3 linked regions of the Pelodiscus sinensis genome follow. The protein of the gene in region 2 purifies or fractionates together with the protein of the main gene of each other region. This does not show direct contact. Links are inferred from orthologs where the notes say so. Each region holds a gene or a part of one and is shown on either strand. Other genes may lie near its edges. The genes, in order: POLR3GL, POLR3H and POLR3G.

Region 1 (3,748 bases), on a different chromosome or scaffold from region 2:
TGTACAGTCCTGGCCCCACAGTGCACAGGTCAGCGCTGAGGGTGTACGGTCCTGGCCCCACAGTGCACAGCTCAGAGCTGGGGGTGTACGGTCCTGGCCCCACAGTGCACGGCTCAGAGCTGAGGGTGTACGGTCCTGGCCCCACAGTGCACAGCTCAGAGCTGAGGGTGTACAGTCCTGGCCCCACAGTGCACAGCTCAGAGCTGGGGGTGTACGGTCCTGGCCCCACAGTGCACAGCTCAGAGCTGAGGGTGTACAGTCCTGGCCCCACAGTGCACAGCTCAGAGCTGAGGGTGTACGGTCCTGGCCCCACAGTGCACGGCTCAGAGCTGAGGGTGTACAGTCCTGGCCCCACAGTGCACAGCTCAGAGCTGGGGGTGTACAGTCCTGGCCCCACAGTGCACAGCTCAGAGCTGAGGGTGTACGGTCCTGGCCCCACAGTGCACGGCTCAGAGCTGAGGGTGTACAGTCCTGGCCCCACAGTGCACAGCTCAGAGCTGAGGGTGTACGGTCCTGGCCCCACAGTGCACAGGTCAGAGCTGAGGGTGTACGGTCCTGGCCCCACAGTGCACAGGTCAGAGCTGAGGGTGTACAGTCCTGGCCCCACAGTGCACGGCTCAGAGCTGAGGGTGTACAGTCCTGGCCCCACAGTGCACAGCTCAGAGCTGAGGGTGTACGGTCCCGGCCCCACAGTGCACGGCTCAGAGCTGAGGGTGTACGGTCCTGGCCCCACAGTGCACAGGTCAGCGCTGAGGGTGTACGGTCCTGGCCCCACAGTGCACGGCTCAGAGCTGAGGGTGTACGGTCCTGGCCCCACAGTGCACAGGTCAGAGCTGAGGGTGTACGGTCCTGGCCCCACAGTGCACGGCTCAGAGCTGAGGGTGCACGGTCCTGGCCCCACAGTGCACGGCTCAGAGCTGAGGGTGTACGGTCCTGGCCCCACAGTGCACGGCTCAGAGCTGAGGGTGCACGGTCCTGGCCCCACAGTGCACGGCTCAGAGCTGAGGGTGTACGGTCCTGGCCCCACAGTGCACAGCTCAGAGCTGAGGGTGTACGGTCCTGGCCCCACAGTGCACAGGTCAGCGCTGAGGGTGTACGGTCCTGGCCCCACAGTGCACAGCTCAGAGCTGAGGGTGTACGGTCCTGGCCCCACAGTGCACAGCTCAGAGCTGAGGGTGTACGGTCCTGGCCCCACAGTGCACGGCTCAGAGCTGAGGGTGTACGGTCCTGGCCCCACAGTGCACGGCTCAGAGCTGAGGGTGCACGGTCCTGGCCCCACAGTGCACGGCTCAGAGCTGAGGGTGCACGGTCCTGGCCCCACAGTGCACGGCTCAGAGCTGAGGGTGTACGGTCCTGGCCCCACAGTGCACAGGTCAGAGCTGAGGGTGTACGGTCCTGGCCCCACAGTGCACAGGTCAGAGCTGAGGGTGTACGGTCCTGGCCCCACAGTGCACGGCTCAGAGCTGAGGGTGTACGGTCCTGGCCCCACAGTGCACGGCTCAGAGCTGGGGGTGTACGGTCCTGGCCCCACAGTGCACGGCTCAGAGCTGAGGGTGTACGGTCCTGGCCCCACAGTGCACGGCTCAGAGCTGAGGGTGTACGGTCCTGGCCCCACAGTGCACAGGTCAGAGCTGAGGGTGTACGGTCCTGGCCCCACAGTGCACAGCTCAGAGCTGAGGGTGTACGGTCCTGGCCCCACAGTGCACAGCTCAGAGCTGAGGGTGTACGGTCCTGGCCCCACAGTGCACGGCTCAGAGCTGAGGGTGTACGGTCCTGGCCCCACAGTGCACGGCTCAGAGCTGAGGGTGTACGGTCCTGGCCCCACAGTGCACGGCTCAGAGCTGAGGGTGCACGGTCCTGGCCCCACAGTGCACGGCTCAGAGCTGAGGGTGTACGGTCCTGGCCCCACAGTGCACAGGTCAGAGCTGAGGGTGTACGGTCCTGGCCCCACAGTGCACAGGTCAGAGCTGAGGGTGTACGGTCCTGGCCCCACAGTGCACGGCTCAGAGCTGAGGGTGTACGGTCCTGGCCCCACAGTGCACGGCTCAGAGCTGGGGGTGTACGGTCCTGGCCCCACAGTGCACGGCTCAGAGCTGAGGGTGTACGGTCCTGGCCCCACAGTGCACGGCTCAGAGCTGAGGGTGTACGGTCCTGGCCCCACAGTGCACAGAGCCGCGCCCAGAGCCCACAACCAGGCCCTGGCTACACAATGCAGGGCCCTTTGCCCACGATCCACAGCGGGCAGAGGGCGCAGGGCCCCGCCCCGGCTGCACAACGCACAGGACAGGAGCTGCAGCGGGGACCCGGGATCCGCAGCAGGGCCCGGGCGCACCGGAGCAGGGCCAGGGCTCGGTGCCTCTGATTATCCACCCGGGCCCCGGGGAAGGATTCGTATGGGCGGGGCGCCCTTCCCCGCCTCCCATTGGGCCGCCGCGCACCGGACCGAACCGAATCAGCGCTTTACCCGGGTCGCGCCACTCGGGCTGGAGCCTCCCTCTCCGACTCCACGTGGGTTCTTTCCGCCCGGAAGCTAAACGGATACACAACGTTCCGAAGGGGCGGGGCCCAAGGCCGGCTGCTCGCCGCTCATTGGTGTGCACGGCGGACAATCAAAGGACGTAAGCTAAGGGGCGGAGCCAGAGGGGTTTTTTTCGGGTGGGGGGGGGAGACGAGAGAACGAAATAAGGATGAGCGGGAGAGAGACAGGAAGATGGATGGATGGGCGGGTGGAAGAAATAGACAGAGAGAGAGAGAAGCTGGGGCGGGGGGGGGGGGGGGAGGTGCAGCGTTCCCTGCACAGTCCAGGAGGGTCTTCAAGCCCCCAGCTCTCTTTCTGCCCCGCCAGCCAGGGCGCTGTAACCCCCTGGGGGAGGGGAGACCATAGGCTCACACACTCCTGCTGAGCGCGTGTGTTGGGGTTAGGGTAGCCAAGGGACCTGCCCTGTGCTGGGCTGGGAGTGCCACAAAGGGGGAAACACTCTGATTTCCTATTGGCGGGCTAGTGAAGTTACCGCTGTCCTTGCGAGACCTCCCCCAGCTGGCTGGGCCTCTAGAACAGGGCTTCCCTGTGGTGGCCGATGCTATAGCCTGGTGTGACCTGGAGCCGTCTCTCAGTTTCTTCTCCTGCCGTACTTTTCACCCTAACAGCCAATGTGCCTTCTAATGTTTTCCATCCATGTGCAGGATACATTTTGTTCTGTGCTCCGAGGCATGTGCAGATGTGCACCACCCAGAGAAACACCTGCTGCCGGCTGTAGGTGCTCTGCTAATCAGCGGGGCGGCATCTGAATCCCTCCTGGGTGGCCGACCCAGCACACAGCTCACAGGGAGTCCTGCTCGCAGCTGAGCTTCATGCACAGAGCCTTGATTCCCAACTGGGCCCCAGTTCTCCTGGCCAGAGCCAGAGCTGAGCTCGCCCGTTCCCCAAGGCAGAGGGCCTCCTACCTGAAACCAAAGGGCATGAGAGCAAAGGGAGCTACGGCCTCTTCCACTGGGGCAAATAACTTACACGTCATGAGCTAAGATCCCTGTGAGCTGCGGCTGTGCAGTTGCCTATTTAGCGCCGTCCAGGCACTCAATGAAGCCATGCAGGCCAGGGACCTGCGATAGCAGGAAAAGGGCTACCCCACCCCCCAACTAGCCCACCATCCAATCGGTTGGGACCATCAAGCTCCAGTCAGGACCCTGCCACTGGCATTGTGGCCCCAACGTGCCTCCTGGCTATGATCCAGTGCCCTGGGCCCGGCCC
Region 2 (3,748 bases):
ATTCAGCTATGCAGCAAAATGATCCTTAAGACTTACTTGGTTAGAGGTTCTGCACAGTGAACCCCAACTAATAACTTTCTGTTTTTCCATTCAAGTCTCCAGCTCAATCCTATATAGTCATGGGCTCTTCCGGTCAAGCAACATCTTTTCTTCACAGTGCAGTGCCTAGCAACAGGGCTCCTAAGCACAATACTAATACAAATAACATGACAGCTCAGAAAGAGCTCATCTTCAATGCTGAGGATATATCCATAAGACAAGACCAAGTGTTAGAGAGGAATTATGCCCTCTGCTGGCTTTGAAAGGAAGATCTCCTGAGAGAGCATGATTAGAAGGGGGGTTGGTTGGGTGGTTCTTAGCTCATCTATCAGAGGGGTAGCCGTGTTAGTCTGAATCTGAAAAAGCGATGAGGAGTCCTGTGGCACCTTATAGACTAACAGATTTATTGGAGCATAAGCTTTCATGGGCAAAGACCCACTTTGTCAGATGCATGTAGTGGAAATTCCAGAGGCAGGTATAAATATACAGGCATAAGAAAAGAGTTCCAATCAAGAGTAAGACAAGAGATAACGAGGTCAATTCAGTCAGGGAGGATGAGGCCCACTCCTAGCAGCTGATGTGGAGGTATGAACACCATGAGAGGAGAAACTGCTTTTGTAGTTGGCTAGCCATTCAGTCTTTGTTTAATCCTAAAACGATGGTGTCAAATTTGCAAATGAACTGTAGCTCAGCAGTTTCTCTTTGAAGTCTGTTCTTGAAGTTTTTTTTGTTGCAGGATGGCTACCTTTAAATCTGCTACTGTGTGTCCAGGGAGATTGACGTGTTCTCCTACAGGTTTTTGTACATTGCCATTCCTGATATCTGATTTGTGTCCATTTATTCTTTTACATAGGGACTGTCCAGTTTGGCCGATGTATATAGCAGAGGGGTATTGCTGAAACATGATGGCATATATTACATTGGTAGATGTGCAGATGAATGAACCTGTAGGAGAACACTTCAATCTCCCTGGACACAGAGTAGCAGATTTAAAGGTAGCCATCCTGCAACAAAAAAACTTCAAGAACAGACTTCAAAGAGAAAAAGGTGTGTACCTCCAGGGCCCTAGCAGCAATTTAAAGGGCTCAGAGATCTGACTGCTTCGGAGGTAGCAATGCCAGTGGACAGAAGCCCTGGGCCCCTTTAAATTGCCAAGTCTTGAGGCATCTGCCTCTTTTTCACGCCCTTCCACACCCCACTCACCTTTAAGTGGAATAGCAAAAACCTTGTTTTCCCCTTATTAGGGACTTTTTAAATTATTTCCCCAGGCACGTGGCACCTTGAGAAATATGGAACATGGCAAGAATAAGGGGTCGCTGCCAGTGCAGCCTGGCACAAGTTTTTGAGTCAGACCCATGGGTGAAGAGGGCACTGAGCCCGTCACTCTGAGGTTGTGTCTACATTGGCATAATCTTGCGCAAAAGCAATTGCTTTTGCGCCAAAACTTGCTGCCTATCTACACTGGCGGGGAGTTCTTGCGCACGTACACTGACGCTCTAATGTGTGAAATCAGGGCTTCTCGCGCCCGCTCAGGGATAAGCCCTCTTGTGCAACTGTTCTTGTGCAAGAGGCCAGTGTAGACAGGCAACATGAATTACTTGCACAGGAAAGCCCAATGGCTAAAATGGCCATCAGAGCTTTCTTGCGCAAGAGAGCATCTACACTGGCACGGATGCTCTTGGCAAAAGCACAGGCCAGTGTAATAGCCTGAGGGTTTCACTTCAGCCCCGGGCACGTGGCACAAGCGGGGAACACTCCCCAGCTGCACTGGAGGGGTCGCTGGGCAGGGCGAGCCCTGGCGATGCCCCGCAGCGGGGAAGCCGCTACGACCGGGCCCCGCTACCAGCCTCAGCCTCGCCGGGCAGGGTCGCCGGGACAGCTGGGCTCGTGCAGCGCAACGGCGTTAACGGCCCGGAGTCAGAGCGCGCGGACCCGAGCTCCCCCCAGTCACGTGACCCAGCATGAACATCCATTCCCCCCCCCTCCCCCCGTTCCAGGGTTACTAAGGAACCCGCGGGCGGCCCTCCAGCGAGACTGGACTCTATGATGCCGCAATGCATGGCGGGATACACCGGCAGTTGCCGGACGACCAACCTGGTTTCTCCCCAAGCAGCCTGCCTCTTTGACATCCCCCGCACCGACCTGTCCCACGTGCCAATAAGCAGCGCCCAGCCCCGGCAGCAGATAGTCCCGCACGCCGCGGCTGCCTCCCAGCTACTAGCCAGGTGACTTCCGGTGCGTGGGCCAATCGCCTTTCAGGGGCGGGCCGAATGGGCTGATTGACACATGGAGTTTAGCAGATGACCAAGGGGTGCCCCGAGCCGGGCCTAGCTCCGTGGTGGAGCTGGCGCGAGGTTGCGTCCTTTTGCCCCTGGACCCAGCACGTTCGTCCCCCGCCTCCCAGTCTCGCGGGCGCCAGGCTGGGGCAGCCACGCCACGAGCTAGCCCCGCCCCCTCCCTCCGCGCTGGTGCCGGCTGGGGGAGCCGGAAACGTGCGTGCGGGGCGGGGCGAGAAGTGTCTCGGGCGGGGTCGGCCCCGGCAGCCAGGCTGTCTCCGCCCGCGTTGCACTGTCAACAGAGCAGCTGCCGCCCCCACGTGTCACCCGCCGGGGGGGTGTGGCAGGGCAGCGCGCGGGGAGCCACGCCAGGGCTGTGGCTGACCCAGCCACGGGGAGGGGACCTCGCTAGGCCACAGGAAAACAAATTACAGGCCCCTCTAGCTCAGTAATTTTTTTGCGGGGGGGGGGGGGGGGTGAAGAAATATTTACCATTGAAATAAACGGACACAATGGAGGCTGGGCTTAGGCAGCTGTGAGACAGTAATTGTAGGAGCAACAGGGTCCCCTGGTGCTAGTTAGATGCAGTTCCCAAAGACAAGCAATATACAAACGCGTCAGAGGGGTAGCCCAGTTAGTCTGTAACCGGAAAAACTTTAAAAAAACAACACATAGAGTAGTTAGTACCACCTAAAAGACGAACAAAACATGTACAATACACTTACAAACAACAAATACTCTGGTAGACTTTAAAGACTAACAAAACGTGTAGATGGTATCATGAGCTTCTGTGGGCGCAACCCACTTCTTCAGATGACTGGAGTGTTAAAAGTCCAGATCCAAGAATAAATAAGGGAAGAGGGGGGGAAAAAAGACAAAAGGCTGGGTAAAGAAAAAAGAGAGATAGTGAGTAGATCAGTGGTCCCCAACCTTTTGGGGCCGCGCATGCGCCCGGGGCCCGGTACGCAAGAATGGCTCGGGCCAGCCCCGGTCATTAGGTGGGCGCACATAAATGCCCTGGCGGGTGCCATGGTAACCACAGGCACCCTTGGGGACCACTGGAGTAGATGGTTCAAATAATTTCAAGAGGCTGATAAGAACAATTAGCACCTCCATTGTTGGGTTGGTTGGTTAAGTCATTCAGATGTGGAAGGTAGTGTGCCAGCCAGCTGATGTCCCTGTTCATCCATTTGCATAAGAATTAAACTTGTAAATGAAGTTAAGTTCCAATCCTTCCCTGTATTTGGCTTGTGGAATTGGTCTGAAACAATACGGTGACTTGGAGATCCATTAATGAGTGTTAATGGATTAAAGTGTTCTCCAACACTTTAATCCAGGCAGAAGTTTGCGTTGGGGGGAAGGTTGGGTACATAATGAGCAAGGTCAGTAACGTGATGCCCAGTGTGCTGAGCCCAGTGTGCTTATTCCATGCC
Region 3 (3,748 bases), on a different chromosome or scaffold from region 2:
AGCAGAAGAGCCCTTATCGACTAATCAAATAGTTGATGGAAATTCCATCGATTATTCAATTAGTTGATTAATCTAATTTTAACCCTAGTCTCTAAGGTGCCACAGGCCTACTAGTTTTTAAAGTTATACACTAAAGGCTACGTCTAGACTGGCCCCTAATTCCGGAAAAGTCATGCAAAGCAGGTAAGTCAGAATAGGGAAATCTGCGGGGGATTTAAATATCCCCCGCGGGATTTAAATAAACATGTCCGCCGCTTTTTTTCTGGCTTGGGGAAAAGCCGGAAAAAAGTGTCTAGACTGGCGCGATCCTCCGGAATAAGGAGGAAATAAGAGATCCTCCGGAATAAAGCCCTTTTCCGGAGGATCTCTTATTTCCTCCTTATTCCGGAGGATCGCGCCAGTCTAGACACTTTTTTCCGGCTTTTCCCCAAGCCAGAAAAAAAGCGGCGGACATGTTTATTTAAATCCCGCGGGGGATATTTAAATCCCCCGCGGATTTCCCTATTCTGACTTACCTGCTTTGCATGACTATTCCGTTTTATGGGGCCAGTGTAGACGTAGCCTAACATAGCTACACTCCGAGACTGGTGTTTATTTTTTAGTTACAGCAAATTTAGACATTACTTGTAACTCTCCTAGCTGCAGAAGTTTCTTAGTAAAATGTAACTTTCAAGTTGTCATTGTCCCTATTTAGTGTCAGTACTACAGCTTGAACATAAAGACTAATTATTACAGTTTCCATACACAAATACATTTTGCTGATTTACATTTATGCAGAACAAACCTTGTTTTTCATCTTTGCTTGGCATAAAATAAGGCGTATTTTTCATACTTCCTCTAAATTCTTGCTTCAAGGCCAACATATAATCTTCTTCTTCTCCCATTTTCAGAGGCACTGGCTTAAAACCTGTTGACTGTGTAAATTAAGGTACATAATTGCATTAATATCCATCACATACAGCAACACATAAAACTACAGAAAAAATGCCTCTACTTATGGAGGAGTTCAATTATGTATTATACTAGTTTGCAAATATGTTTCACTGCATTCTGACAATATGTTCAGAACTTTATAATGCATATTTTTCAATTAAATTGTAAAAAGGATTTCTTTCTTTTTAATATATCCATCATGAAAACCTCTATTAGGAAAGGAATAAAACAAGAAATATCTAAAACATTTTTAACATAAAAACATAACATTCTAATTCAATTGACTTTAGGTCAGTGAAGGTGCACATCACCATTCACTCCACCCGCCCCCCCTTTCAAATGTCTCAGGCTAGCTGACTTGCTCTGAAGCCCTTACTGCTGCTAACTTCAGTGAGAGCAATTTCAACAACACCACTTCCCAAAATATGGTTCAATCTATGCTAAACATAATTAATCTGACCAATATTTTAATCATGTTAGTTATCTCCTGGACAGCAATACAATTTAACAGGTCTCAAAAAAAAAATCATCCCACTGTGGCCTTGTCTAAACTAGAGAACATGGGATCTGTAAAGCTCTCACAGTGCAGCTCCAAGACAACACAGTGTAAACACCTCAATTCTTATAAACGGTCTCTCTCTGCTGTTGAGATTTCTATCTCTGGGAACACACAGAGACGTGGATTAGCTACTTTCAAAACTGATTTATTAGATTTTTTCCATCCATTTAACGGTTCATTACCTAAATATGAACATGAAACACTTTGTTCAGACATGCAACTTGTTCTTAAAATGAAGCTTGTTCTCTTTACTTACAGGAAACAACGGAGGGGGCTTGAATGCTACTTCAGGTAGCGTTTCACCTTTGGAAAAGCCAATAGCCTCGATGTTGAAAGTAAATGCAGCACGTCCTCTTCCTTTTCCTGACCCAGCCATTTGGAATTACTGAAAATATTATTAGATTCTAGTTGCATCACAAAAAATAAAGCCAAAAGTAAGATGGAAAAAAGTCAAAGACTGAGAAAAGGTATTTTTACATTGCAAGTGTCATACCAATGATGATCTCCAGCTTGGAAAAAATGTGGGTCTGTCTAGAAATCAAATGGGACTCCAGACTCCATTTTTAGCTATTAATCAAACATGAAGGCGTTTTAAAACTGAGACTGTGGGAATTTAGTTCTGTGGGGCTGGGCGCTCAGTTCCAGGCACAATTTTAAAAGATGGGAACACGTGTCAGCCAGCTCCACCCCCGGCGACGCTGCCGCAGCCCGCAGTGGGGTGGGGCGCCGCGCAGGCTCCTCCTGGGGGCGGTGGCTTCGCAGTGCTGGGCTCGCAGCGGCCCGGCATGTCGGCGCTGGAGTGGTACGCGCATAAGCCCCTGGGCGGCGGCATCTACTGGATCCAGGAGCGGTTCTACGAGTCCGGCAACCGAGCCAACATCTGGCTGGTGCGGGGTTCGCAGCGCGACGTAGTGATCGACACCGGCCTGGGGCTACGCAGCCTGCCCGACTACCTGCACTCGGCCGGGCTGCTGGGGCCGGGCGCCGGGCCCGGGGAGGCGGAGGAGGCAGCGGCGGGAGGGGGCAGGAGGCCGCTGCTGGCCGTGGCCACCCATGTGCACTTCGACCACGCGGGCGGGCTGCACCAGTTCGACGAGGTGGCGGTGCACAGCGCCGAGGCGGGCGCGCTGCTGCGCGGGGACAACTACGAGACCGTCACCTGGCTGTCGGACAGCGAGGTGGTGCGGCCGCCCAGCCCCGGCTGGAGCGCCCGGCAGTTCCGAGTGCAGCCCGTGCAGCCCACCCACGTCCTGCAGGAGGGTAAGGGGCGGGCGGTCAGCGCTGGGGTGGGGAGCGGGGTATGTTCATGGCGGGAGGGCAAAGCTGCACAGACACTCCATAGGGCACCTGCCCTATTGGGGGTGGGGAGGCATATAAGGCGGGTGAGTTGGGCATGTGTATACGTGCCTGTGCTTACACTTAGGTCACTAGCTGCTACGTGTCTGTGTGTAAGTCAAGTGGGGCTGGGGTGAGTTGTGCGTCTCTGTCAGACAACAGTATGTAGGTGCATCACTGCGAGTTGGATCTGTACAGTACTTGAGGGGGGTACTGGGTGTGACAGTACATCGGGGTATGTCTGCCTTACCGTCTGTGGGAAGGAGTGCATATGCTGCGTTTGTGTCTAATCAGTGCGTGTCCATAGATGTGCATGTTTCAGATCTGCATCTTTAACTTTGGGTTGTGCAAAATGCTTCTAGACTGAACATCGGTTTATATACACTGCGTCATGTTTATTTGTATCTAAATATATATATATCACTTTTATAGTGTTAGTATATTGTACTTGAATCTAAAACAATTTTTATGTAAAGGGGTATCCTCACTGGATCTGTTATGCTACATTCCACATTTGTGATCTATGTTTGTACCACATATAGTAATCAGTTAATTTATAATAAGTGATCAGGATGTATGTTTATAGTGCATGTACATCAGTGTATTTCAGGATTCAGCTAAAAGGCTTGAATTTTTTGTTGTTGTTGCTTTGGGTTTGTTGGCTTTCTATGCCTGTCCAAAGATCTTACTTAATACTACTAACACTATAAGTCTGAAAGAATTTTGATTTTGGTGGTAAGTATCAGGGGGGTAGCTGGGTTAGTCTGAATATGCAAAAGCAATGAGGAGTCCTGTAGCATCGTATAAATTAACAGATTTATTGGCCGCATAAGCTTTCTCCCATGAAAGCTTATGCTCCAATAAATCTGTTAATTTATGACTATAAGGTGCCACAGGACCCCTCGTCGCTTTTGGTGGTAG

The links.
Region 1: the proteins of POLR3H (region 2) and POLR3GL purify together in Homo sapiens (co-immunoprecipitation; 4 studies listed by BioGRID and IntAct, counting the BioPlex papers as one, with this or other methods). This does not show direct contact. The link is inferred for Pelodiscus sinensis from reciprocal best matches to the Homo sapiens genes POLR3H and POLR3GL.
Region 3: the proteins of POLR3H (region 2) and POLR3G purify together in Homo sapiens (affinity purification with mass spectrometry; 5 studies listed by BioGRID and IntAct, with this or other methods). This does not show direct contact. The link is inferred for Pelodiscus sinensis from reciprocal best matches to the Homo sapiens genes POLR3H and POLR3G.

Annotation. Positions count from the first base shown.
Region 1 is NC_134734.1:19,893,820-19,897,567, reverse strand, and holds the start of POLR3GL (DNA-directed RNA polymerase III subunit RPC7-like), read right to left. Parts: upstream 2,556-3,748; 5' UTR 2,465-2,555; intron 1-2,464. UniProt on the Homo sapiens protein: DNA-dependent RNA polymerase catalyzes the transcription of DNA into RNA using the four ribonucleoside triphosphates as substrates. Specific peripheric component of RNA polymerase III which synthesizes small RNAs, such as 5S rRNA and tRNAs.
Region 2 is NC_134711.1:89,046,629-89,050,376, reverse strand, and holds the start of POLR3H (DNA-directed RNA polymerase III subunit RPC8), read right to left. Parts: upstream 2,434-3,748; 5' UTR 2,182-2,433; exon of another isoform or gene 2,134-2,181; intron 1-2,133.
Region 3 is NC_134716.1:74,581,405-74,585,152, forward strand, and holds the start of POLR3G (DNA-directed RNA polymerase III subunit RPC7), read right to left. Parts: upstream 2,261-3,748; 5' UTR 1,970-2,260; exon of another isoform or gene 1,878-1,969; 5' UTR 1,869-1,877; coding exon 1,749-1,868; intron 915-1,748; coding exon 785-914; intron 1-784. Other genes in the region: acyl-coenzyme A thioesterase MBLAC2, read left to right, coding at 2,278-2,752. UniProt on the Homo sapiens protein: DNA-dependent RNA polymerase catalyzes the transcription of DNA into RNA using the four ribonucleoside triphosphates as substrates.